Tamandua tetradactyla: one gene and its partners. The protein of the gene in region 2 interacts with the protein of the main gene of each other region in a pairwise test. Links are inferred from orthologs where the notes say so. Each region holds a gene or a part of one and is shown on either strand. Other genes may lie near its edges.

Evidence for each region. The genes of interacting proteins can lie anywhere in the genome.
Region 1: the proteins of ERBB4 (region 2) and DLG4 interact in binary tests that used the Homo sapiens proteins (3 or more experiments, as listed by UniProt). The link is inferred for Tamandua tetradactyla from reciprocal best matches to the Homo sapiens genes ERBB4 and DLG4.
Region 3: the proteins of ERBB4 (region 2) and CFL1 interact in a protein complementation assay, tested with the Homo sapiens proteins (2 studies listed by BioGRID and IntAct, with this or other methods). The link is inferred for Tamandua tetradactyla from reciprocal best matches to the Homo sapiens genes ERBB4 and CFL1.

The regions. Positions count from the first base shown.
Region 1 is NC_135332.1:61,085,237-61,093,029, reverse strand, and holds the start of DLG4 (disks large homolog 4), read left to right. Parts: upstream 1-4,787; 5' UTR 4,788-5,122; coding exon 5,123-5,152; intron 5,153-7,793. Other genes in the region: ACADVL (very long-chain specific acyl-CoA dehydrogenase, mitochondrial), read right to left, coding at 217-342, 444-573, 813-957, 1,368-1,538, 1,616-1,680, 1,773-1,845, 1,929-1,991, 2,217-2,292 and 1 more. UniProt on the Homo sapiens protein: Postsynaptic scaffolding protein that plays a critical role in synaptogenesis and synaptic plasticity by providing a platform for the postsynaptic clustering of crucial synaptic proteins.
Region 2 is NC_135329.1:187,876,068-187,882,950, reverse strand, and holds the start of ERBB4 (receptor tyrosine-protein kinase erbB-4), read left to right. Parts: upstream 1-3,866; 5' UTR 3,867-3,972; coding exon 3,973-4,057; intron 4,058-6,883. UniProt on the Homo sapiens protein: Tyrosine-protein kinase that plays an essential role as cell surface receptor for neuregulins and EGF family members and regulates development of the heart, the central nervous system and the mammary gland, gene transcription, cell proliferation, differentiation, migration and apoptosis.
Region 3 is NC_135335.1:8,665,984-8,673,209, reverse strand, and holds the start of CFL1 (cofilin-1), read right to left. Parts: upstream 3,007-7,226; 5' UTR 2,719-3,006; coding exon 2,716-2,718; exon of another isoform or gene 2,629-2,715; intron 2,310-2,628; exon of another isoform or gene 2,209-2,309; intron 1,274-2,208; coding exon of another isoform or gene 1,178-1,273; exon of another isoform or gene 867-1,177; coding exon 559-866; intron 281-558; coding exon 204-280; intron 1-203. Other genes in the region: structure-specific endonuclease subunit MUS81, read left to right, coding at 5,319-5,453, 5,548-5,677, 5,886-5,971, 6,495-6,593, 6,691-6,759, 6,948-7,033.

The DNA of each region.
Region 1 (7,793 bases), on a different chromosome or scaffold from region 2:
GCCCAAAGGGCTGCAGAGCTTGGCTGCATTCTGCCATCATGTGTTTGGCCCCCTGGTTGCCAGGAGCCAAGGCTTTTGGTCAACTACATACGTATTTGTCCCACAGGGAAGCTGCTTTGGTTTCTGCACACATCCCCAGGGTGACACAACAGTCATCAGCCCTGGAGTGCAGCAGGACCCTCCCTCCACGCCCTACCTCTTCCCAAATCCACTCACTGGGTAATGCCCCCAAAGCTCCTCTCCACCACAAAAGCTGTGATCTTCTCTTTTGTGGTCCCTGTGGATGCATCTGTAATTGGTGTTTTGGCAAAAACGGTGAAGATTTCGGCTAGACCCCCGTTGCTGTGGAAGGATGAGGAGGGCAGTCAGGGTGAGGCTAATTGAGAGCTATGGGGTCTGAAATCAGGGAGGGGTGGAGAGGAGAGAAATGGGAGGAAGATTGCCTGATCCAAATCTTGCTTCCATTGAGGGTATAGTATTTTCCACAGGGGCTTGGCACAGCTGAGGTTCGGATGGAGGCAGCATCTGATCCACTTGAGGGCTCAGTGAGGCAGAAAGCAGCGATAGTCTCCCCTAGTTGGGGAGAGAGATTTACTGAGGGTCATCATGGGTAGTGAAGTCCCCTCAGTGTCCCCCAGCCCCTCCTACTGGTCTCCCTTAATGCCTTGGGCAATATTCAGTTTCCTTTCGTTACCCCAGACTCTCCTGCAACTTAGGTCCCCAGCTTTGCCAGTAATCTCAGCACCCGCCGGCCTAACTGGTGCCAAACCCAGGACACCCCCAAGCCCCCGGGTCTCCCAGGACTGCCTCACCAGATGCCAGTTTGGGGAGGTATTTTTCTTTCTGGGCCTTTGTGCCAAAGAGCAGGATGCCTTTGAAACCGATGCTCTGATGGGCCCCCAGAGTGATGCCCACGCCGAGGTCATGCATTCCCACAATCTCCACTAGGCGCGCGTACTGTGGGGGTGGGTGGGAGGGTAGGCAGGTGTGGGGCTGGGGTGGGGCCCAACCTGGGCCATCCCCACAGAGCCAATGCAGAGAGCAAGGTCAACTGTGAGAAGGGCACAACAGAGGGCACTGTGTCCACCCCAGTCTTGGTGGGAGGGGGACTTCCTGCTCTCCTTTTGCCAAGTGGTCCCACCTGACAGATTCACTTAAACTCGGAAACCAGGGTAGGGTCTGTGGCTGCAGGCAAGGGCACCTGTAGTCAGTGTGTTAAGTTTGAGGATGTGTGTGCACGGTGGGGAGAGTCAGCATCCCACAGGCTCCCGGGGCAGTAGTCTGGTCAGGAATGAACCCTAGAGGTGAAGAAGGGGCTGACTGCCAAGCTGGAGTGGTTTGGAAAGTGACTCGGGGGCTCTCCTCACCTGGGTATTGCAGAGGCCCACACCGCCCAACTCACTGGGCACTTGCAGACCAAAGGCCCCCAGCTCCTTAAGGCCCTGCAAAGTAGTCTCCTCCACCTGCTCCAGAGCGTCATTCTTGGCTGGATCATTCACCTCCTGGGAAAGAAGTCTCCGGATCCCACATCCAGACTCCTTTTAAATTCCTTAGCCCTGCCCCCCAACACCCTAGGGTCTAAGCCCTCCATCCCTCAGCTTCAGTCATTCCTTACTTGGAAGAAGCGGGACACTGGCCCCACAAGCTCCTTGAGAAACTGTGTCTGCTCCTCAGTGAGCACTGTGTAAGGGCAGGAAGAGGAAATGCAGGTAAGACAGGGCTGTCAGGGGAATGCCCTACCCCTCCCCACCTCTGAATAGCCATTCCCTTACCAGATGGGTATGGGAACACTTGGTCCGTGGTGAGATGGCCCTTAAACATCCCCACAGCAAAGGACTTAGATTCCTGTTCAGGGAAAAGAGAGTTTCAGGAAATTGTGTGGGACGGCTCTTTCCCAACTCAGTTCCCACGGGCCTTGGAACACATACCGTGTGGAGTTGTTTCTCTTTGGTGGGTACCTCAGGAAGGGAATCTGACTTATCCAGAACCGCCTGGGAAAAGGAATGGTTAGCGAGGTCGGGGAAGGGGCTTCCGGTGTGTCAAGGAGGGCAGATCCGGTCACCTTTCCCCTAGTTCCATCTCCTGCCCTTTCCCCTACTTCCGGTGCCAGCCTGCAGAACAGGTGTCTGGGGCATAAAGGGTGAGCCCTACTGACCGTGGGGCCCCGAGGCGAATCCCGACTCCCACACCTCTCTCCCACGTCCGTCGTCTCTCACCTGGGTGGCTCCACTGGCGTAGGGTCGGAGGGCAGGGCCCGGTTTGGGCTGCCCCAGGAGCGCGCTGCACCGCGAGCTGAGGGAAATGGGAGTTCAGGCCCGCCCCTGGGCCCCCCCGCTCCCCGTCCCCTGCTGTCATACACATACCTGCCGCCTCCTAACAGGAGTAGCTGCCGCCCCACGCTTGGGGCTATCCTTGCCCCCTGCATCTCCGCGCTGCTGAGGCCCCGGCTGCCTGGAGCTGACCTAACGCTTTCGCCCCGCCTCCCGCAGCCGGGTCCCTTCCACTTGACGCATCCTCCACAATGCACCGGGAGGCGGGCGGGCGGGGCTTCCCGGCGCCGGGCATGCCGGGAGTCGTAGTCCCGGAGCGCCCCCAGGCCCTGCATCCTGGTTGACCTGGAGTGATCTCCAAGCGTCATTTGTCCCTTCAAACTCCCTTATCCAGCCTGTCCAAATGAGAGGCTAGCCCTCCTCGGGAGGGATGATGAGATAGGATGGGACGGAAGAGGGAGGAGCTGAGGCGACTGCAGCCAGAGGGATTGAAGGTAGACTGAAGGGAGGACTTCCCACGTAGCATTAGAAGGGAGAAATTGAAAGACAGAAGTGTAAGGTGAACTCTAGAGGCAGACACATGGAAAGATGACTTTTCAGCCCCGAAAGAAATCCATCAATTTCAACCACAACCAAAGGGAAGGGAATGGTTGGGTGGGGTCTCAAACTATCCTCTTGAGACGTAGGAAGTGACACTCGAAGCACCGAAAATTTCACAATAGATGGCACTCCAGCACCCTGTGTTCACTGCCTCCCCCTATGGCCTCTAAGGCCTTCCTGGTCATCCATCTCTTTTTGCCCTCTGCTCCTTCCAGGATCATTGGGTCCAGGCTAGACCTCTGGGCAGATGGATTTTTCTGCCTGAAAAGAGCTATAGGAATACTCATCCCCTCTCTCTCCCATACTTCCCTGTGTGCTGACCCAGCCCTGGGTCAAAAAGTCTCAGGTAATTTATATTCCACTTCTGCAGTTCCATTGGGGAAAGGGCCCAGGAGGATAGAGCTGAGCTCAACTTCCTTACCTTTGTGCTGCAGGAACCTCTGTGTAGGGAAATTCTCTCTCCAAGCCCCACAGGAGAGCAGCTAAATTTGGGAAAAGAGGCCAGGGAATGTGGAGAAAGGGGGTGGCCGTGGGATCTGGGAAGGATGGAGCAGCAGGGCAAGTCAGTCAGAGATGTCTCCTTTCCCCAACAGTTAAAACTGGGTGGAGAGAAGGCAGCTCAATTTAATCCTGGGGGATTAGGGAGATTAAAATGAGAGAAGGGAGAGATGTCTGAGAGACCAAGAGGTGAAAGACGGAGCTCCTTTGGAGGGGTGGCCTGGGAGCAGAGGTGGGGGAACATGGTGCTGAGAGTCCCAGATTCTTGTCCTGAATCTTTCTGCAGGGTCTGGGGTAAAAAGGCAAAGGGTAGTGTTCCTGTAAGTGTCTCCGGCTTACCTCTTCCTGGCCCGATTCTTCCCTCACCTCCATTTCTCTAGCCCCCAGATCAGCTCTGTGGCTCCTGGCCCCCCCACTATTGCGGTGGGCACCCCCACTCCTTGCGGTGCTGCACAGTGACCTCTTCCAGGCCTTGCTGGGTGAGTAACCCCAATTTTCTAGGGGTTAGTTGTGGAAAAGGCTGGTTGGGACCCTGGAGCCTGCTGGAGGGGCTCTGGCCTTCTAGACAGCGGTGGTGACAGGAGAGGCAGAGGCCAGGTGGGGGATGTAACTCAGCTCTGTTCCTGTGACAGACATCCTGGACTATTATGAGGCCTCCATCTCAGAGAGTCAGGTAAGGGGGCAGCAGCAGGGGGCAGTGGCCTGTCTTGCAGAGGGAGCTGGCAGGATTAGAGGGGTCAGGAAAGGATTAATATTTAACTGAAGATGGGGTGGGGGTGGGGGTCCCAATAAGGGAACCCTGAGTCAGGGGCTTAGGGGCTTGGGGACTCCTGAGAATGTGCTCTTGCCTGTCCTTCTCCCTTTCCTCTGCCTGCCCCAATTTCAGACAGGAGAGTCCAGGACATAATTACTTTTCAGGCTTCCTTCTGGGAACCCCAAGTTAGAAGCAGTTCCCCAGGGATTCCCTCCTGCCAGCCCCTCCCTCACACCCTACCCCCCACCGTGGCCTCCCTCCATGATTTATTCCATCATGGGTGCTCCCAGCCCCAACCATGGGTGCTTCCTCCCCTAAGAAATGAAATCCGCCTTCATTGTCTTTGCTGCCGCGCTGGTGGCCCCAAGTCTCCATGTTTGCCTCAGGGCCTCTCCGCTTCTGCTTCCATCTCCCTTCCCATTATCCGGGTTCCTGCCGGCATTGAAGGAGTTAACTCTACCAAGGCACCCCCCCACAATCTCGCTCCTCGCTCCCTCCCTCCCTCCCCCTGCTTCCTCTCTCCTCCTCTCTCCCCTTCCCTCCTCGGCTCCACGGCTCCCTCAGCCGCTGCCGCCTCCAACCCCCCCACCCCACTCCCCCGCCACGGCCCTTAGCCCCTGGCCTTTAGGCAAGACCCCCCCACCCCCAGGGCTCCCCCAAATCCAGTTCCCCTCCCCCATCCCATCTCATGCCCCAGCTCCCGAACCCCGGGGCTGCCAGCCCCCGGTGCCCCTGCCCCTCCTGAAAATCGGGGTGTGCTCCCCAAGCCCCCTCCCCTTCATTGGGGTCCCCCTTTTAGGGCCCCCTTTCCCTCCCTCCCACGCTCCCCTCCTCTTCCCTTTTCCAACCCTCTCCTTCCCCTCTCACCCCTCCCCCCATCCTGGCCCCCCCTGCAAAAGTGGGGTGCGGAGGGGGGAGGGGTGAGAACCTGAGGAGGGGAGGAACGAAACTCCGATGAAGTCAGAGCCCCTTACCCGCCGCCGCGGCCAGGCCCCCCAACATGGACTGTCTCTGTATAGTGACAACCAAGGTAAGCGTGATGGAGGGGGGCCATCAACGCGGGTGGGGTGGGTATGAGTTCGTGGGGGGGCAGGCAGGCCTAATCTGGGACTGGGGGCTCTGGAGTGCGAGCATCAGAAATAAATGTATTTAGGGGTCATCATTTAGTTTTGGGGTGCACATCTCAGAAAAGGCTGGGTTTGGCCACAGGTGCCCCCTGGAGTGATCCCTTTGAACCTGTAGAGGAATTGAAATTTGGGGGTGTTCTATGGTTTGGGGGCTCTTGTGGGTTTGGGGGTTCACCAGCTATGTTTGAGGGAGACTTATTGAAGGAGAAGCCTGGCTCACATGGTAGTCCTGCTTGTTATGTTGGAAGGTGGGCTAAGTGGAGGTGGTTGTCTTCTTCCCTCCTGGGGTCCAAACTGGTTTCCAGGTTCCTTGTCCAATTTGAGGGGTTCTTGTGTGTGGGGGTAGAAGGTTATTGATTGTGAGTGCCTGACTGGTTTGGGGGTGTCAGCTGGCAGGGAAGGGGTGGGCCTTCAGGCTATAGAACAAGCATCTTGTGGTAAATATATTTTTTGGGGGGTACATCCTCAATTTGAGGGAACTGCTAATCTGGGGGTTCAATCATATGGTATGGGAATAGTTGAGAGTTGTCAGAGGGCTGGTGCCCAACACCTGAGGGTGGACTAGGTGAGGCTAGGATTTGGGGTACCCCCATGGGAGGTGGCAGGTTGCAGCAGCTGAGGTTGCCAGCTCCTGAGGAGGCGAGAGATTTCGAGAGAAGGGATTTGAGGAGGGAGACCAGGTAGACAGTGTGAAATTTGGGGGTGGCCCAGGCAGGTACCCAATCTCCCCATCTCCTCCCACACTGCATCCACCCCTGAAAGGGGAGAAGAGCAGATGGAGGAGGAGGCTTCTGCTACTCCTGAAGCTTGGGACCCAGGTGGGGTGGGGGGAGGACACCTGGATGTAAGGGTCCCTAAGATTTATGACCTAGGTTTCCGGGGTGAAAAGGAGGAGGAGGAAGGCAGGGCTGGCAGCAGCCAGAATCTGTTGTCCCTGTGATTGGAGCCTGGGACAGGCAGGAAATCTTGGATGGGAACTCAAGCCAGCTTCTGGTGGGATGCAGAATACCTGGGTCTTTGCTGGGAGACTCTGGGACTGGAGAGCTGGATGCCTGGAGTGTGGAGGGAAGCTTGGGCGGATGGCAGGCAGCTGGGGGCTGGGGGGTGGGACAGGAAGTGGGGGCCGGGGGGGGCGGGGTCCGGGTGAGTCACAGGCTGGGGAGGGGGTTATATTTAGTGGGAACTGCAGCTTCTCAGGGGAGGAAGCTGAGGACACACATGTTCCCTGCCACAAACTCACACATGTGTGTACACATGCGTTGTGCACGTGTGAGCATGGATGGAACAGATTGAGGGGGTTGAGGCCCTTTGGTCCTGGAACCCCTAACCCCTCCCAGGGTTACTTCCTTGTCCTTTATTCTGTGGCCTACCTGCCTGGGCCACCCCCAAATATCAGGCTGCTTCCCTCCTCCTCTGGGTAGTTTTAGTGGATCGTTGTTCCTCAGTTGCTCTGGCCCAGCCTCCTTTGATGTCTGTCTGATCCTCTGCTCCTCCTGTTTCCTGCCCTTGGCCTTAGGCTCTCTGGCTCTGGTTCCCTGTGTACAGGAAACCCATTGGAATCTGTGGGCTCTGCTTCCAACACTTAAACTCACAAACGAGTGAGGGTGAGGGGCTTGCCTGCTCTGGCAGCTATCCTCAGGGGGGCTTATTCATCCCCCTACAGATTCCTACTTCCCTGATGGAGCGCGAGGTTGGGTATCCCCAGGAGAAGGCTTATGCAGAGAGGGTCCTGCATTTGGGGTCTTACAGAGACGTGAAGACCCGGTCTTGCCACATTCCTTGGCCGGAAAACTTGTCTGCCTCGCCATAGCGAGGACTCCAACTCCCATAAGGCACTGAGACAGAAGCTCCCTCAATATTAGAAGATTGCTGCTCGCGGAGCTTTTGGGAGTTGTGGTTCAGCCTCTATCCAGGGCAGCAGAGGGTAGCCCAGAGGGAGCCAGCAGGGGGCACACAGCTCCTGCCCCCCCCTTAAAATGCTGGGTGGGGTAAGGAGCGCTCAGGCTGCTTGCGGTCGTTGAGCTCCCAGCATTGTCTGAGAGACCTCCATCTTTCCTTGCCTATATTTAGGCTCCTGCCGCAGTAATTTAGGGAACCTATATTGGATGCCTACTATGTGCCAGGCCCATGTTTTGTGCAAACTCTGCCTGTACAGCTTTCACTGGGTCTAACTCCTTGCCTCTATTTCTACCGGCATTTCGATCTCGGCATCTCTTTCTCCCACTCCGCCCCCGTCCCTGCCCCCTTCTCCCCGCGCTGCTGCCGCCGTTGCCATGGTAACCGGCGACGACTGAAGTTGCGTGGCTGGCTTGAGGGCTGGACGAGGCTGGCGGAGGGTGGGGCAGAACAAATGGGGGAGGGGGAAAAGTGGGGAAAAGACCAGGGGTATTTGGCCAGAGCCCCGGATGCGAAGAGGTTAAACCCTCGGGGTGGTCCTTATTGGGCAAAGCGAAGAAGCCGGGGGCGGGGCAGTTTGGCAAACGGCCTCATTCATTGGCCGACAGAGGCGTGGCGGAGGGACCGTGTGGGCGAGGCCCCAGAGCG
Region 2 (6,883 bases):
TTTCAGAATCAGGCTGATGAGTAGAATGAATTAGGAAAATTGGGGACAAAGTTAAGGATCAGATTGAACTTTGAGTTCATTGTATTCTTTTCTCCCACCAGCAGCCTTCTGTTACTCATGACATCAGAACTTACTCAGAAAGCTATCATTAATGGAAGAAATGAGGCAGAAAGGGAGATATGGGAAAGCATTATAGGACAAAGCCATTTTAATGTTGGGATTACACTTCATACAAGGGAAATCATGAAAAAAAATGGGAAAAGGAACTCAAGAATATGGACTACATCAAGATGTCTTTCTCAAGGGGCAGGCTGCCTATATGATCCCATTCAAGTTGGAGAAATTCTTTTCCCATTTCACACTGTTCTTGTTTCAGGGAACAAAACAAAAATTGAAGTAACTTAAGGAAAATGGGAACTTGAACAACTAGCCACAAGAAGAATCCTCTTTGGACCCATCTGGGTTTTGTACCTTCCAAATGGCAGCTTCATTCTTTCCACTGCAGCCTGGTAATGCCTGTGTAGAAGGAAACATAGCCAAGCCAGTTTCAGAGTTGTTTTTTTTTTAATTTCTAAAGCTATCAGTGAAAGACTACGAGCTATTTCTCAGGGAAGGGACTCAGGGCCAGTGAACATTTGTCACTCAGTTAACAGTGACCAAGTGCTTTGATTGGTCCAACTTATAACTTGGCAGTGAAGGCAAGGTTGTTCAATGGAGGTAGATCCAATTTAAAAATGTAGAACTAAGGTAGGGTAATTCCTAGAAAAGGGTATAGCAGACAACTCCAAGTGATCATCTGTTATTTATGAAGTGCTTATACATACATACATGCTGGTTAGTCTTGTATTTTCTTTTGTTTTTCCCCAGGTAGCAAACAACAGCAACACATTTTAGTTAACTCAGTTAATGGGAATAAATTATAAAGATACAGAGAAAAGTGAAGAATTACAGAGAGCCCATCTCAGCAAGCGTACAACAGTCCAGCCAGTATATCCTTCTTTCCACATCAGGTAGTAAGTGTTTCCGAATCTGGAGGGCCTTTCTTACGAAGATTCCGTTGAGATTGGACACAAATGAGAGAGACACACATGATTCTTCCTCATGGTTTCTACTTTCTCATCTTTCCAACTTGCCCCCACACAGTACCATTTTCCTGTCTACATCTTTAAATCTCACATTGAAATTATTTGAACTAGACTCTGATTGGTAGAGCAGGCACCAGGATGCTTCTATTGAGTAGAGCTCTCATTCCAAATCATTTTATAAGCTGCTGTTCAAATACTCACTTTTGGCAAGTTACCAATCATTATTTCAATCAGAGACAGGAAAATGGAGCCAAAGCAGAAGAAACCGAGTAGTAGAGGCAAATCATGGTGTGTTAGGTATTTTAACTGGTAGACATCTTTTATGGGCTGTCTAGTACCCACAAACATAGACAAAGTTTTTTTCCCAATCAATAAACATTAGTTAAAAACCCTCATTTGCCAAGAGTTATTCTGGAAGGTATGGATGAGACCAAGACATACAAGAGAGTTTCTGTCACAAAAGAGCTATAAAATTGATAGGGAAGGAAAACTATCAGAAGGAACACAAGTAAAAAACAAACAAAAACTCCAAAACATTCAGACTATTTAATTTTTCCCACAATTTAAGTTAAAATACAAAATTAATATCTTGCAACAGAATTAGCATCAGAAACAAGACTTTTTTTTTTTTTTAAACACAGAGATTTAAACATTTCCAAAAGCAAGAAGCTTGTTTGTTTTTGTCACTTAAGTTTTTATCCTAGGGACAAAATGGGAATTTTAGAAAGTAACTTTCACAGAGGAGAGGTGTCTGAGAGTCATCATAAAAATCAGAAGAGGATTTAAGAAAAAAGGACTGAGAAGAGCTTGAAAGAAAGAATAAAAAAATAGAAGGGGGGTAAAAGAAATAGAAATCAAAGATGATCCATACCAGCAGTGAGCACAGTTTTGCTGCAATCTATACCATTCTGGGCAAATCACCATCATCTGCTCTCAGCTTAGCTTCTGCTCATCCTGGGCTGCTTCTGAGCCTCTTCTCAAGGCTTCCTATTTGCTGTGGGCCTAAGAGAGAAAAGGGTTCGGACTTCTGGGTCGCTGCTACTGTTCCTGTCTGTTCTTAGCTCCATGGAGCTTCTTAATGGGCTTGACTATAGATAAAAGGTATGGAGGAGGTCTCGAATGATGAGTGAAGAGGGAGGGAGGCTGATTTTTAGGCTCTCCAGATACTATTTATTTGTATATTTGCTGTCCCTAGAGAAACCAAAAAAAAAAAAAAAAAAAAGAAAAAAAGGGAATATAATTCATAGAATGCCTGTGCAAATAGCAAACCAATAACCTACTACCCCCAGGAGGTTCTGGACCCTATTCAGGATACAGTTCCAGAGCTGCATAAGGCAACGGATACGTAGCCTGCTATGACCTGGTCCCAAGATATTTCAGATCCAGAGAAGCCCAGAGACTGCCATAGCCAGCGCTGATCTGAGGAGTGCACATTTTCAGTGTGAACAAGGAAGGAACTTAAACCTGGGTCAGTTATATCTTGGCATGGTCTTCTTAAATCCTTTCAGGCTGAATAGTTCAGGCCTAGGACAATTTCTAGTCCATTAGGGCTAAATCAATAGCTTTGGAATAGAATCTGCATAATGAAAATGAACCCAAACCAAGTTGTCCTAGAGTACAGGGAAAAGCTAAAAAGACCCCTAAAGTTTAAAATTCAAAGAAAGTGCTTCTACAAATCTGTTTTGCTCAGTGTCAGTTACCTTGGGTGGGAGAGGCTGCATAGTCATAGTCGGGGAACAGGGATGATAACACCCCAGGACTACCTAATCTGTGTTGATTCCCAGTTATCATACCGAGGGGAGGGAGAGGCAGTTTTGCCCCCAAGACATGCTGATTTTGCTTCTATTCTAGCGAAGGTGCGGTCTGTGGATGAGTACCTTAGGGCAATGGTGAAAATGGTGACATCTTTAAAAAAATAAAAGAAAACCAAAAAACAGGCTCCGTTGTCTGCCACTCCGCGGGCCAGCTGTCCCTGGTGTCTGCTGGGGGAGAGAAGGGGAATGTTTCAGTCAGTGGCCTCGGGTAAGCCCTTTACGTTCGTCTTCCCCCGCCCCACCATCTACTCCCTTTTGCTGACAGGTGTTTTCCCGAACTCCCGAGGCTGAGGATTTTGGGGAGTGGCTGAGCCAATAAGAGTTCCCCGTGGGGGGGCGGGAGAAAGGGCGTGGCTAGTTGGGTCAGAGCAGGGGCGGGGTTTGAACTGCTGAGCAGTGCCGGCCTGGTTGCGTGGAGGGTTTTTTTTTTTTTCTTGTTTTTTTTTTTTCCGGGAGTCTTATTAATTTCTCTGAGGGGCTGCAGCTGGAGACTGCCGAGCGTTGGAAATGACGCTCGGAGCTTTAATTACCGCAGCCGCCGGACAAGTGTGAGGAAAGCTGAGAGAAAAAAGGACAGGATCGAGGGTGAAGCAAGACGCTTCCCCCCTCTCCGCCCCTTCCCTCCCGATTTGGACTGGAGGTGCAGGGAAGCAGAAAAAGGAGCCGAACGTAGCCCGGCTGGTGGGGAGAGAGACCGGAAACCTACCGCCTCTTTGCAATCAACTTTTTTTGGAAACCTTTTATTCCCCCCTTCCTTTTTATTGTTGACCAACCAGCGCGAGAGAGAAAGTGAGGAGGGAGCGAGAAAGCGAAGGCTCACACGGGAAAATAGCTGCACAGTCCGACCCGGAGCAGCACGCGCACATCCTCACGCCCCCCCCGGGTCCCCGCCCGGGACCCGCGCGCGCAAGGACTCCCTCGCCGGCCCTCGCAGCCCGCGCAGCGCGCGCGCCGCCAGCCAGCCCCGCTCGGGCCCCCACGCGCGTCGGGCTAAGGGATCTCCTTCGCGCCCCAGAGAGGGGATATGCCATTTGGACATGTAATTGTCAGCACGGGATCTGAGACTTACAAAAATGAAGCTGGCGGCGACAAGACTGTGGGTCTGGGTGAGCCTTTTCGTGGCGGCGGGGACCGTCCAGCCCAGCGCTTCCCAATCAGGTGGGTCGCGGTTCGTTCTTTTCGCGCTCCAGCTGTTGAACCTGCTGCCGCCGGCTTGGCTGCCTCCGGCGGCTCCCTAGCTCTCTCCGCGCATCCCGAGACCCGCCAGCTTCCAGGCGTAGAGGGACCACCCGCCCGTGGCCGCTTCTTTGGGCTCTCGGTCACCCCTCTTTCCATCCCCAAACTTGCCTTGTGTGCGTATGTAATTTATCGTGAAAAATCACTGCGCGCCCCGGTCTCTCTTTTTCCTCTTTCCTTTATCACCCTCCTTTCTTTTTCGTGCATAAACGGGATCCCTTCTGGTGGCGCCTGTTGTTGAGGACGTGGGAGACCCCCAATTCATTCAGAGGAGACTCTCCTGTCCGCGTCTTGGCCCTCGAGGCAAGAAGCCTAGGAGAAGCGCGCAGCGTGGGAGTGACTGAGGGGCTGGGGTCCCGGGGCGCTTGCCGGGCCGCTTCTGAGCCGCGGGGCAGTGCACAGTGAAGCTTCGAGAGCCGAGCTTTGCACCTGTGTGTGCTGCCGGTGGGCACTGCGCCCCCAGTCGCCCGAGCCTTCCCGGGTCAGACCCGGCTAGAACCCGGACTGGGCAGCTGGAGCGCAGCGGGCGGGCGTGCCTCGGCCCAGGCGCGGGAACCCTGGGCCTCTTCGGCCGGCGTCCCGGAGTCCCTGGCCCCAGTGAGTTGAGGGGCGCTTGCTTGCCAGCCTGACCTCTTTTTTTTTTAAAAAAAAAAAAAAAAAAAAGGGCTTGGCACGCTAGAGTCTGGAGCCCGGACTTCAGGTCGGTTGCTACGTTTGGCTCCGGGAAGAGTTCTTCCTGTAGTTCAACTTGCTGTTGGCCGGAGTCCCTCCAACTTCTCTGTTTACAGCCCGACTGGGCTGTCGAGCCGGCCGGTGGCGCGAATTGATTTAACCCCCGGAGGGCGCGCGGACTACGCTGGGTGCACGACCACTGTTTGCTGGGGAGCTTAAGCCCCGGGTACCTAGACAGGCAAACGCCTAAATGACCCCCGAGGCAGCGCAGTGGGGCTGGCGCTCCCGGGCGGGCAGAGCTTCTGATAGCACCTGCAGTGCGAGGGAGCTCAAAGTTTCTGACACTTGAGTTTCCTGTGGATGAATGCGGGATAGGAAAGGACTGAGGAGAACCGGTGTCTGACTTGGCCCAAGTGGGAGGCGGAGTGGGGTGCTTTGGAGAGCCGGGGAGATTTCCGGATCCATCCGGGGCTGGTCGCGAGCGTGTGGGAGGCGGCTTGAAGAGATAAAGCCACCTGGGGTGACGATAGGGAAAGCTTTGGGCCTCTGGAGCGTGTCTTCCTGACCTCAACAAGAAAACAGCGCTCTGTAGTTTTCCCGCTCCGCCCCCGCCTCCCCCTCCTTGCCTAGTAAATAGCAAGTTATAATCACTGAGGCTTTCAGAATGACCTTCGAATGGCACACGTGCGCCGTTTGTGCTGGCCATTTGCACCCTCCCAATTACTCCGCAATTCTTCATGCATACCAGGTCCTGCGCTCCAGCCACCTCCGGAATTACACACCAACACGGACTTGAGATTCCAAGCGGCCTCTTAGATACATCCCTTTTTATCTCCCTCCTCGCTCCGAGTCCCTTCATATTTCCCCTCAATGGGTTGATTATGCACATTGACCCATTCAAAAACTGTTGCGACTGACTGACATGCAGGCTTAGCTGAGAAGAATTTCTACGAGGCAACCTACTGGGGGCTGCATGGTTCAGCCTCAGCCGCGGGGGGACCCGGCTCCGAGTCCGCAGCGATTTGGCATCAACTGTGCGGCTCGCGGGTTGAGCTATGCCGAAAAAAACCTTTTCAGAATTTCTGCAAGGAATGTAATCCAAATTAGTTCTGCAGCTGTCCTCTTCCTCGTCTCAGGAGACGCCGGCTCGCGCCCTAGCTGGTCCCGTCCCTTCTCGCTTCCCGGAGCGAATTGTCAGACCCACAAGTGAGCCCATTTAGAGCGCGAGGATTAGCGTGCCATTGTTGTTCCGTGTGTGACTCTGTACTTGAAATTCTGGGGGCACAAAGGCGAGTCTCACTTGTTCAAAACACAAAGTGATAAAGATGAAAGGGCCGCACAAAGAAACGCTCTCGGGTGCATCCCTGGCATAATTGCGACACGCATGCTGGGGTGATCCACTGGAAACTGTAAATGCCCTTGGGACATTTTTTTTTTTAATCTACCCCCACCCTCACCCCACCACACCTGGCAGGGAAAGTTCAGCTGATTTTAACATAGTGCTATTGTAAAACCAAGCTACTGTCTGGAGTGAGATTGAGGTTCACACTGTGTGTTTGTGGTTGCGTTTGTGTGTGGCCGTATGTGCCCTAGTAAATAAAGTATTGCGCGTCTCCCCTCTCGCGGTTAGCAGTCAGTAGCAGTTTGGAGGAGTTTGTTTTGGTCCAAATGAGAAATTAAGTACGGATAAGTAAACTAAGCTGCCAGAGGGCGACAAGATGTTGAGTGAATTGCTTTTAGATGAAACAAATTAAGGAAACGAGGGAAGACAATCTGCTTCTCGCATTATTAGACACGCTTGGAGTTCGGGGGGGGGAAAGTAGCATATTTTTGAAATGCTAATTTCTTAAGCAGAAGGAATGCACCTTATTTACAGCTCTATGTGAATGGAATAAAAATATAGGGGGAGTCTATTGTTTATATCTTTGAGATTTTCTTAAAATAATTGTAATTGAAGACGATTTGCATCTATTTATTTATTCTTCCTTTGCATGGCAGAATATTCAGCTTTAGAGAAGACTTTTTAGTGATTTTGAAGGACTTTGCCTCATCTCCAGAAGTTTATTTCATATAAAA
Region 3 (7,226 bases), on a different chromosome or scaffold from region 2:
GAAGGAGCATCCGTGAGCAGGAAGCTCTGGGGTGGGGGAGAAGAGTTCCTGCAGCTGGGAAGGAGCCAATCAGAGCAGATGGTGGGAACAAGGTTACCTTCCAACAGGCAGGAAAGAGAAGAGGAGGCCCCGCCCCCCATGCCAGTCACCTTAGCACACAGCAAAGCTGAAAGGCACACAACAGCACCCGTGATGGCCCTTACCTGTCAGTTTCTTCTTGATGGCATCCTTGGAGCTAGCATAGATCATTTTGCTCTTGAGGGGTGCACACTCAGGGGCCCTAGAAAGAAACACAGCCGGGGAGCTCACGGCAAAGCCCCTTCTCCAAGCTCAGCAACCACCCTCAATAAACGACTCTGAAGAACCATCTAACCAGCTTTCAAGCATTCAAGCCTTGGCATTGCCCACCGACACTGAAGTGTTTTTGCAACAACCCTCTCCCCACAAGCACACACCCCTAGGTTATACCAAGAGTCACAAAAATTACCATCCTAAGAAAGGGGGACAAGGCAAAGCTGGGACAGGTGACACGAAGAAGTGCCTGAATGAGGAGCTCACCAGAAAATAAACACCAGGTCCTCCTTCTTGCTCTCCTTGGTCTCATAGGTCGCATCATAAAGGGCATAGCGGCAGTCCTTGTCTGGCAGCATCTTGACAAAGGTGGTGTAGGGGTCGTCGACAGTATGGCCCACATCACCCACCAGGATCTCCTTGCCCTCTTCCAGGATGATGTTCTTTTTGTCCTCACTCAGGCAGAACAGCACAGCCTTCTTGCGCTTCTTCACCTCCTCTGGAGTTGACGACTTGCGCACCTTCATGTCGTTGAACACCTTGATGACGCCATCAGAGACAGCCACGCCAGAGGCCTGGAAGACAAGCAGTATGTGCCTCTTAAGAACAGGTGGCTGGAATCTCCCCAAAGTCTCCCTTGTCTTCTCAGAGGGCCCCAAGTCTGGATGCCACAGTATAGTCCATGACCCCACACTCCAAGGCAAATGTCATTATTTTCCCCACACAAGCCACTGCCAAAGGACTGGATGGGACATGGGAGACAACCACAGGACGGCAGCCATGGAGAAGACCTCGGATCACATAGTTCTACACCCCCCTGCGTTTCACAGGCAGGGAAACTGATGACGCGGGACAAGCAGGACCTCAGCTGAGATGCCAACCCAGCATGAAAACGAATCCACAGGCTACCAATGCGTTTCCTACTCAGAATACTCAATCTTGGCTTGTGAGAAAAGTGCTGACCTGGAATATCTCAGAGATGGTAAGAGGACCCAAACACCTAGGCCATGGGTCTTCTCTTCAGGGAACAGGTAGCCAGAACCCCAAACGCTAGACGGGACACCACGGTGTCCAACAGTTCATCACAACTGCTCAATACAGTTATTACCTAAATTATTCACTAAATTATTGTTTTAGTTGTCCCCCAACTAAAACAAGAATGACATCTTCCAATGAGGGCTCTGCAGGACAATTCTGTCCCCGGGGGATGATGCAAGGCCTCAGAGATCATCGGTAGAAGCTAACAACCCAAACTCTAGAGCCCAGAGTGCTAGAGAGTTTTTTAAACTTCTACCCTACGTCCTCCTAGGGGAAGCCCCAGTAAGGAAAGACAGGGACTGTCCGCGGTGAAATCTGTACTCCCCTCTCTGGAACTGCAGAGGAAGCCGGCCACGTGACGCAGCCGCTTCCGGAGTGGGAGAAGATAGGTTAGGCCTGGCCCTCCCCAAGAGAGAAACCCTTGCCCGAGGCAGCAGCACCTCCGGGCCCTTAACCCTTAGCACCGCTTTTCCCGACGGGCATTTCAAACCCTATCCCCTGCGGCACGAAAGTTGGACAGCTCAGGTCGAGCACAGTGGGCGGGGTGTTCTCAAGCGGTAACCGCCTGGGTCATTTCCCTCGGCTCGGCTCCACCCTCAGGCCATCTGGGTAGGCCGATGGCCCCGCTTGTCCAGGGCCTCGGCCCCCGCGGCCGGGCCCGAGCGTGTGCGCACGCGCCGGCCGCCAGCGCCGTTCCAGCCCGTGCCGGGTATACCCAGCAGAGGACCCGGATCGCTTTGCGGGTTCGCTCGCTCCCGTGCGCGGGCGTTGGAGGGGAGGCCCCAAATCCAGCCCGACCAGGTTCCCACCCGCTCTCCGCCGCCCCAGCATCCCCGCTTTAGCCGCGCCGCCCCCGCCCTTCCCGGGCATCCCTGCCACCTGCTCTCCAGACAGGCCCGTTAGCCGGCCGAGGGAGGATGGCGCGGAGGCACGAACAGCCCTTGGGTGGGGCGCACGTGCCCAAAACGCTCGCGCGCCTTCCCCTCGCCGCCCCCGGGCTCTGAACGCCGCATGCCCCGGTCGAGCGCGCGCCCCACGGGAACCGACTCGCTTCGGTCCGCGCCGCCGCGCGCCGGCTGCATCGCGAGGGGCAGGCGCGCGCGCGACCCGGACCCCTCCCCCCACGACTGATGTCCGCGCGGGCGCATCAGCGGGATGGGGGAGGGGAGGGGAGGCCAGGGGGCGCGCGAGCGACGTCCGAGCCGGCCCTCCTCGGCGCCCGCGGGCGCGCACGCGCACCCCGAGCCGCCCGCCCCTCAGCGCGAGACCCTCGTCCCGCCCGCGGCGCCGGCTGAGGGGTGCCGACGTCGCTCCCCGTCCCCTGCCGTGCGCACAGACGACCGGCCCGCAGCCGCCTCCCCTCGGGCGCTGAGGCCTGCCGCTCACCATGTTTCTGGATGCTAAAGGGACACAGCAAGGAGAACCGGAGAAGATGAGAACCGCTGCAGCTGCCGCCGAGATCCGACTGAACGCGGCCTCTCCCGACCCCTTCCGTTTAGTATGAGCCGCACAATGAGGGGCGGGGCGGGCTTCCGGCGCCCCTCCCCGCGGGCGGACGGGAAATGAAGTCCGAGGGTCCTGCGCCGTCCTCCGGCTCGGCTGGTAGCGGGGTCTTTCTCGACAGCCGGCCTCCGGCCCCGCACTGCATGCCGGAAAGTGTAGTCCAAGGTTGCGGGGAGGGGGTCGGGAGGCGGGCAGTGGGAACGGAGAACGCGCCCATTGGTGGTTTCCTAGGAAACGCGCTGACCTGAGCAATCTGTGCCGCCGCAAGTAAAGGTTGACAGGGAAAGGAGCCCCGACTTGGCGGCTCTTTATCCCGAAGCCAAACGATTTTCCTCAGACCCATGTTGGCACTTTCTGGATCTCTCAGTCTGGCCAGTTTGAGTGGGGTTAGGATTTTGCTTTTCGGAATGGAAGCAATTATCCATGAACTGGAATCCAGTTCTAAAGCAAGGAAAATGACAAGTACAAGGGCCTTCAATCCAGCATTCACTCAGCACCCTCCGTGTGCACAGCCACTCTTGTCCCCCGAGAAAAGGCCATACGCAACTTTAAAAAAAAAAAAAAAAGGAGAAAAGAAACACAAGGGACAGGCAGGCTACAGGGAAAACTTTGAAAGGAGGACTTTGTCCTTGTTTAAAGATGTTTGGCAGACATTCATCCATGGGGCAATGAAAAGGGAGGGCAAGGATTTGTGCATTCAATTCAAGGATTCTCTACGTGCCTTTTACTAGACACAGAGGAAAGGAAACATATTAAACCTGACTCGAATCTCCGTGCCCACCTCGGATACCTTGACTTCAAGCTCCCCACTCCTGTTCAAGTTGCTGTTCTCGAGTTGATAGCCAGTTAGATGATTAAACTAATACCCGCAAAAACTGAAACTAACGAAATAAACCGTTTGGGGTGAAGGGCTCCGGGAAGACTTCGCTGACCGGGACAATGACCATGACCTCACACCCTGCAAGAAAAGGCAAGATTGCAAACAAGTCAGAGACAAACCCAGCAATGGGACCGGGGGCGTGGATCTCATAAGCCGAATAACGGGTGTTAACGGAGAGCAGGCAGCCGGGTCTTCGCGAAGCCCGGGAGTGGGGGTACCTCGCAGAACATGCCGGGATTTGTAGTCCGGGATCTGCTGCTGTACCTCCCCCACCCCCACCCCCACCCTCGAGCTCCCGGGAGCCCCAGGGGGAGGCCGCAGCTCGAACCCCATCTTTCACAAGGGCGCGTGCCAGACTGGTAAGTTGATCCCACCTTTTTCGCGCTTCGCAGTTTTCAAGCGCAGCGAGGGGAGTGGGGCGGGCTTGGTAGTTACCCTGGAGACGTGCTCCCGCCCACCCCCCAGCCGCGGGATGCCCTAGATGTCCTTATTAGGACAGGAGACTGGAGGGGGTGGGACCAGCCCGAACGCCGGCTCCAGGCTCCTTATAAGGCCGCTTCTGGCGGGAGGCGGGCGTCCCTAGCGGTTTCGGGGTACCAGGGTCGCGGACTGGGTGAGGTCTCGAGGGGCGGGCCTGGAGATCTGCATCTAGCGACTTCCGGCATATCAGCCCGAGGCCTGGGTCTGCTCCAACTCCCTAGTGAGACCCTTAAGCCCAGCCCCTCAACCTTGAACCCCTTTACACGGTTCTTCAAACCCCCTGGGGGTGCCCCACCTCCAATGTGCCACAAAAACGTCCAAAGTGTTCTCCCCTTCTCCCTCTGTCTCGGCTTCTTACCCGCAGCCTGCTACCCCGGATCCAATCATGCGCACCCCATCTCAGGCTCCCCACCTACCAGCACCTCCTACCTGTAGTCCCCTTCTACCTGCCCTCGGCCTTATCCCGCCCGTCTGGCTTCGGCCCTCTTTTCAAGTCCCCGATTTCACGGTCCCCACTCTGCCCTGCGACCCCTAACTCCTGACCGCCATTTCCTCCGGTGGTCCTTCAGCAACTCCTGCCTTCCCTCTGTGCCCTCCCCTGTATCCTCACGTAGATATTCCTCCCGCAAATACACGTGCACCCATCTCCCACCCACCATCCCTCTCCGGGACTCCTCGTAAGCCCAGTCGGGCTGCCCAGGCTCTGCAAGGATGAGGCGGAAAAGCTCGGTTAAGCGCGCCCGCAACGCGCACTGCCAGCCGCAGGGGGCGCTGTCCGCCTTGCTTTCGCCCGCCCGCGGAGGATCTTCCCTAATCGCCCGGGCTCTGGACGCGGAAGTGGGCGGAGGGGCGTGGCTGAGGCTCGCGGGGCCCGGGTGGGGCGCGGGCCGAGGCCGAGTTGGGCGGTGGGAGCGAGCGGAGCGCTGAGCCGCGGAGATGGCGCCGGGAGCCACTTAGAGAAGTGTAGGGGCGGGGAGGGGGAAGGGAGGCTAGCCCGGAGTTAGTGTCTCGCGGGCGGGACCACGTGATCGGAGAGGCCCGCCTCCCCTCGGAGCCAGGTGTTCGAATCTCTCTCCCGAGCGGGCGGCGTCGCAGTCCCGCGAGCTTGAGGCCTGCCGCGGCGCCCATGGCGGCGCGCGTCCGCCTGGGCCGGAAGCGCCCACTGCCGGTTTGTCCCAACCCGCTCTTCGTCCGCTGGCTGACCGAGTGGCGGGACGAGGCCGCCAGCAGGGGGCGCCGCACTCACTTTGTATTTCAGAAGGTGGGTCCCGGCCGGGCCCGAAGGGGACCAACGCTGGCCGGGCTGGACGCGGAGGCCTGCCCTGACCCGGTACCGCACCACTTCTCCCCGCCAGGCGCTGCGCTCCCTCCGGCGATACCCACTGCCCCTGCGCAGCGGGAAGGAAGCTAAGATCCTACAGCACTTCGGAGACCGGCTGTGCCGGATGCTTGACGAGCGGCTGCAGCAGCACCGAGCATCCGGCGGTGAGCGCAGGGGCCGGGGGTGGTCGTCTCCAGCCGCCCACCCAGGTGCAGCCTCTGTGCCCACCTCGGATACCTGGGCTTCAAGCTCTCGCACACCTGTCCCAGTTGCTACTTGATCTCTGGCCAGTGGCAGAGTCCCTCCCAGCCTCCTCCCCAGCTGCCGGATTCCTGTGGGAATGCCAGGAATGACTCTCGTCTGGCTCCGCAGGTGCCCATGAACCGGGCTCACCACCTGGAAGAAAGAGCCCTGCCCAGGATGGGCCACCTGCAGAAGCCCAGGATCCTTCTGTGTCGGTGAGGAGGGGGCCGGGGAGCAGAAGGAAAGATGGGATCACCAGAAATAAGGTTTATCTGGTGATATGGATGATTTTGAGGAATATTTGACATTTAGCAGGCCTGGAGACAAATCTCCCCATCAGTGATGCCTGGCCTCCGGCAAGTGATATCCTCTCTGAGACTTGTTTTCTCATCTGTAGGCAGGGATATTGGCAGGAATCTTTCAGAAAGTTCTATGAGCAAGCTTCATAGGGGGCCCAGCCCGGTACATCGTTGAGGTTGCCATTACTGAGTTGCCCTTTACTGAGATTGTACCGTGGGCAGCGGTTCTGGAGAACTGAGGCTGGATCAGGCAGTTCCAGTCCCCCACAACCATTCCCTGTCCCAGCCCAGCTTTGCAGGGAATCATCCAGTCATCTGACTAGTTTTGCAAATAAAACTGAGAGGCAGCTGAGTGACTTGGTCGACCTAAACCTCAAGTCCTCTGGCCCTGCCAGGCGTCCCCACAGAGCCACTGTTCAGAGCCCTCTGTACCTGGCAGGTTCCAGCCAAGCCCAAGGCAGGAGGCTCTGGTGGCTACTGGCCAGCTCGGCACTCAGGGCCACGAGTGGTGCTGCTGCTGCTTTATGAGGAGCACCTGGTGAGTGTCTGGCCTGCCCAGGAGTTGGGAGAACAGAGGCAGTGGGAGCAGAGCAAAGGGGGCTGAGCCTACCCTATCATTTTGACCTTGGTTTCAGACACCTGGCAGCCCTGGCTTCCTAACCAAGGAGCAGCTGCTGCAGAGGTGTTCTCAGAAGGCTCCTAAGGTGAGCACTGGGGTAGAAGGAGGATGGGGCTGAGCAACTTTACTTCTAACCCTGAGCCCACCAGAGACTATCCATCAGGAGTGAGCAATATGTGGGGTCGGACCCATGGCTGGGAGCAGGGATAATGTGGACACTCAGCTCCAGTGAATCCCTGAGAGCCTCAACCTACCCTGCCTCCCCATCAACAGGTAGCCCCTGAGAGTGCTCGACCCTGGCCAGCCCTCCGTTCCCTCCTTCACAGGAACCTCATCCTCAGGACACACCAGCCAGCCAGGTGGAACCAACTCGGGGAGACACAGGAAGCAGAGAGGGGGCATGACATCTTCGTGGGGTGCTGCATTCATCCAGCAATGCCCAGGCTTCATGCTAGGCACTATGGAGACTGGGGCAAGGGTACCAGGAGGGTCTGAGAGATGGAGGCAATGAGTGGAAGAAGATTGCCAGGGGTTACTGGAGAAGCAGAAAGG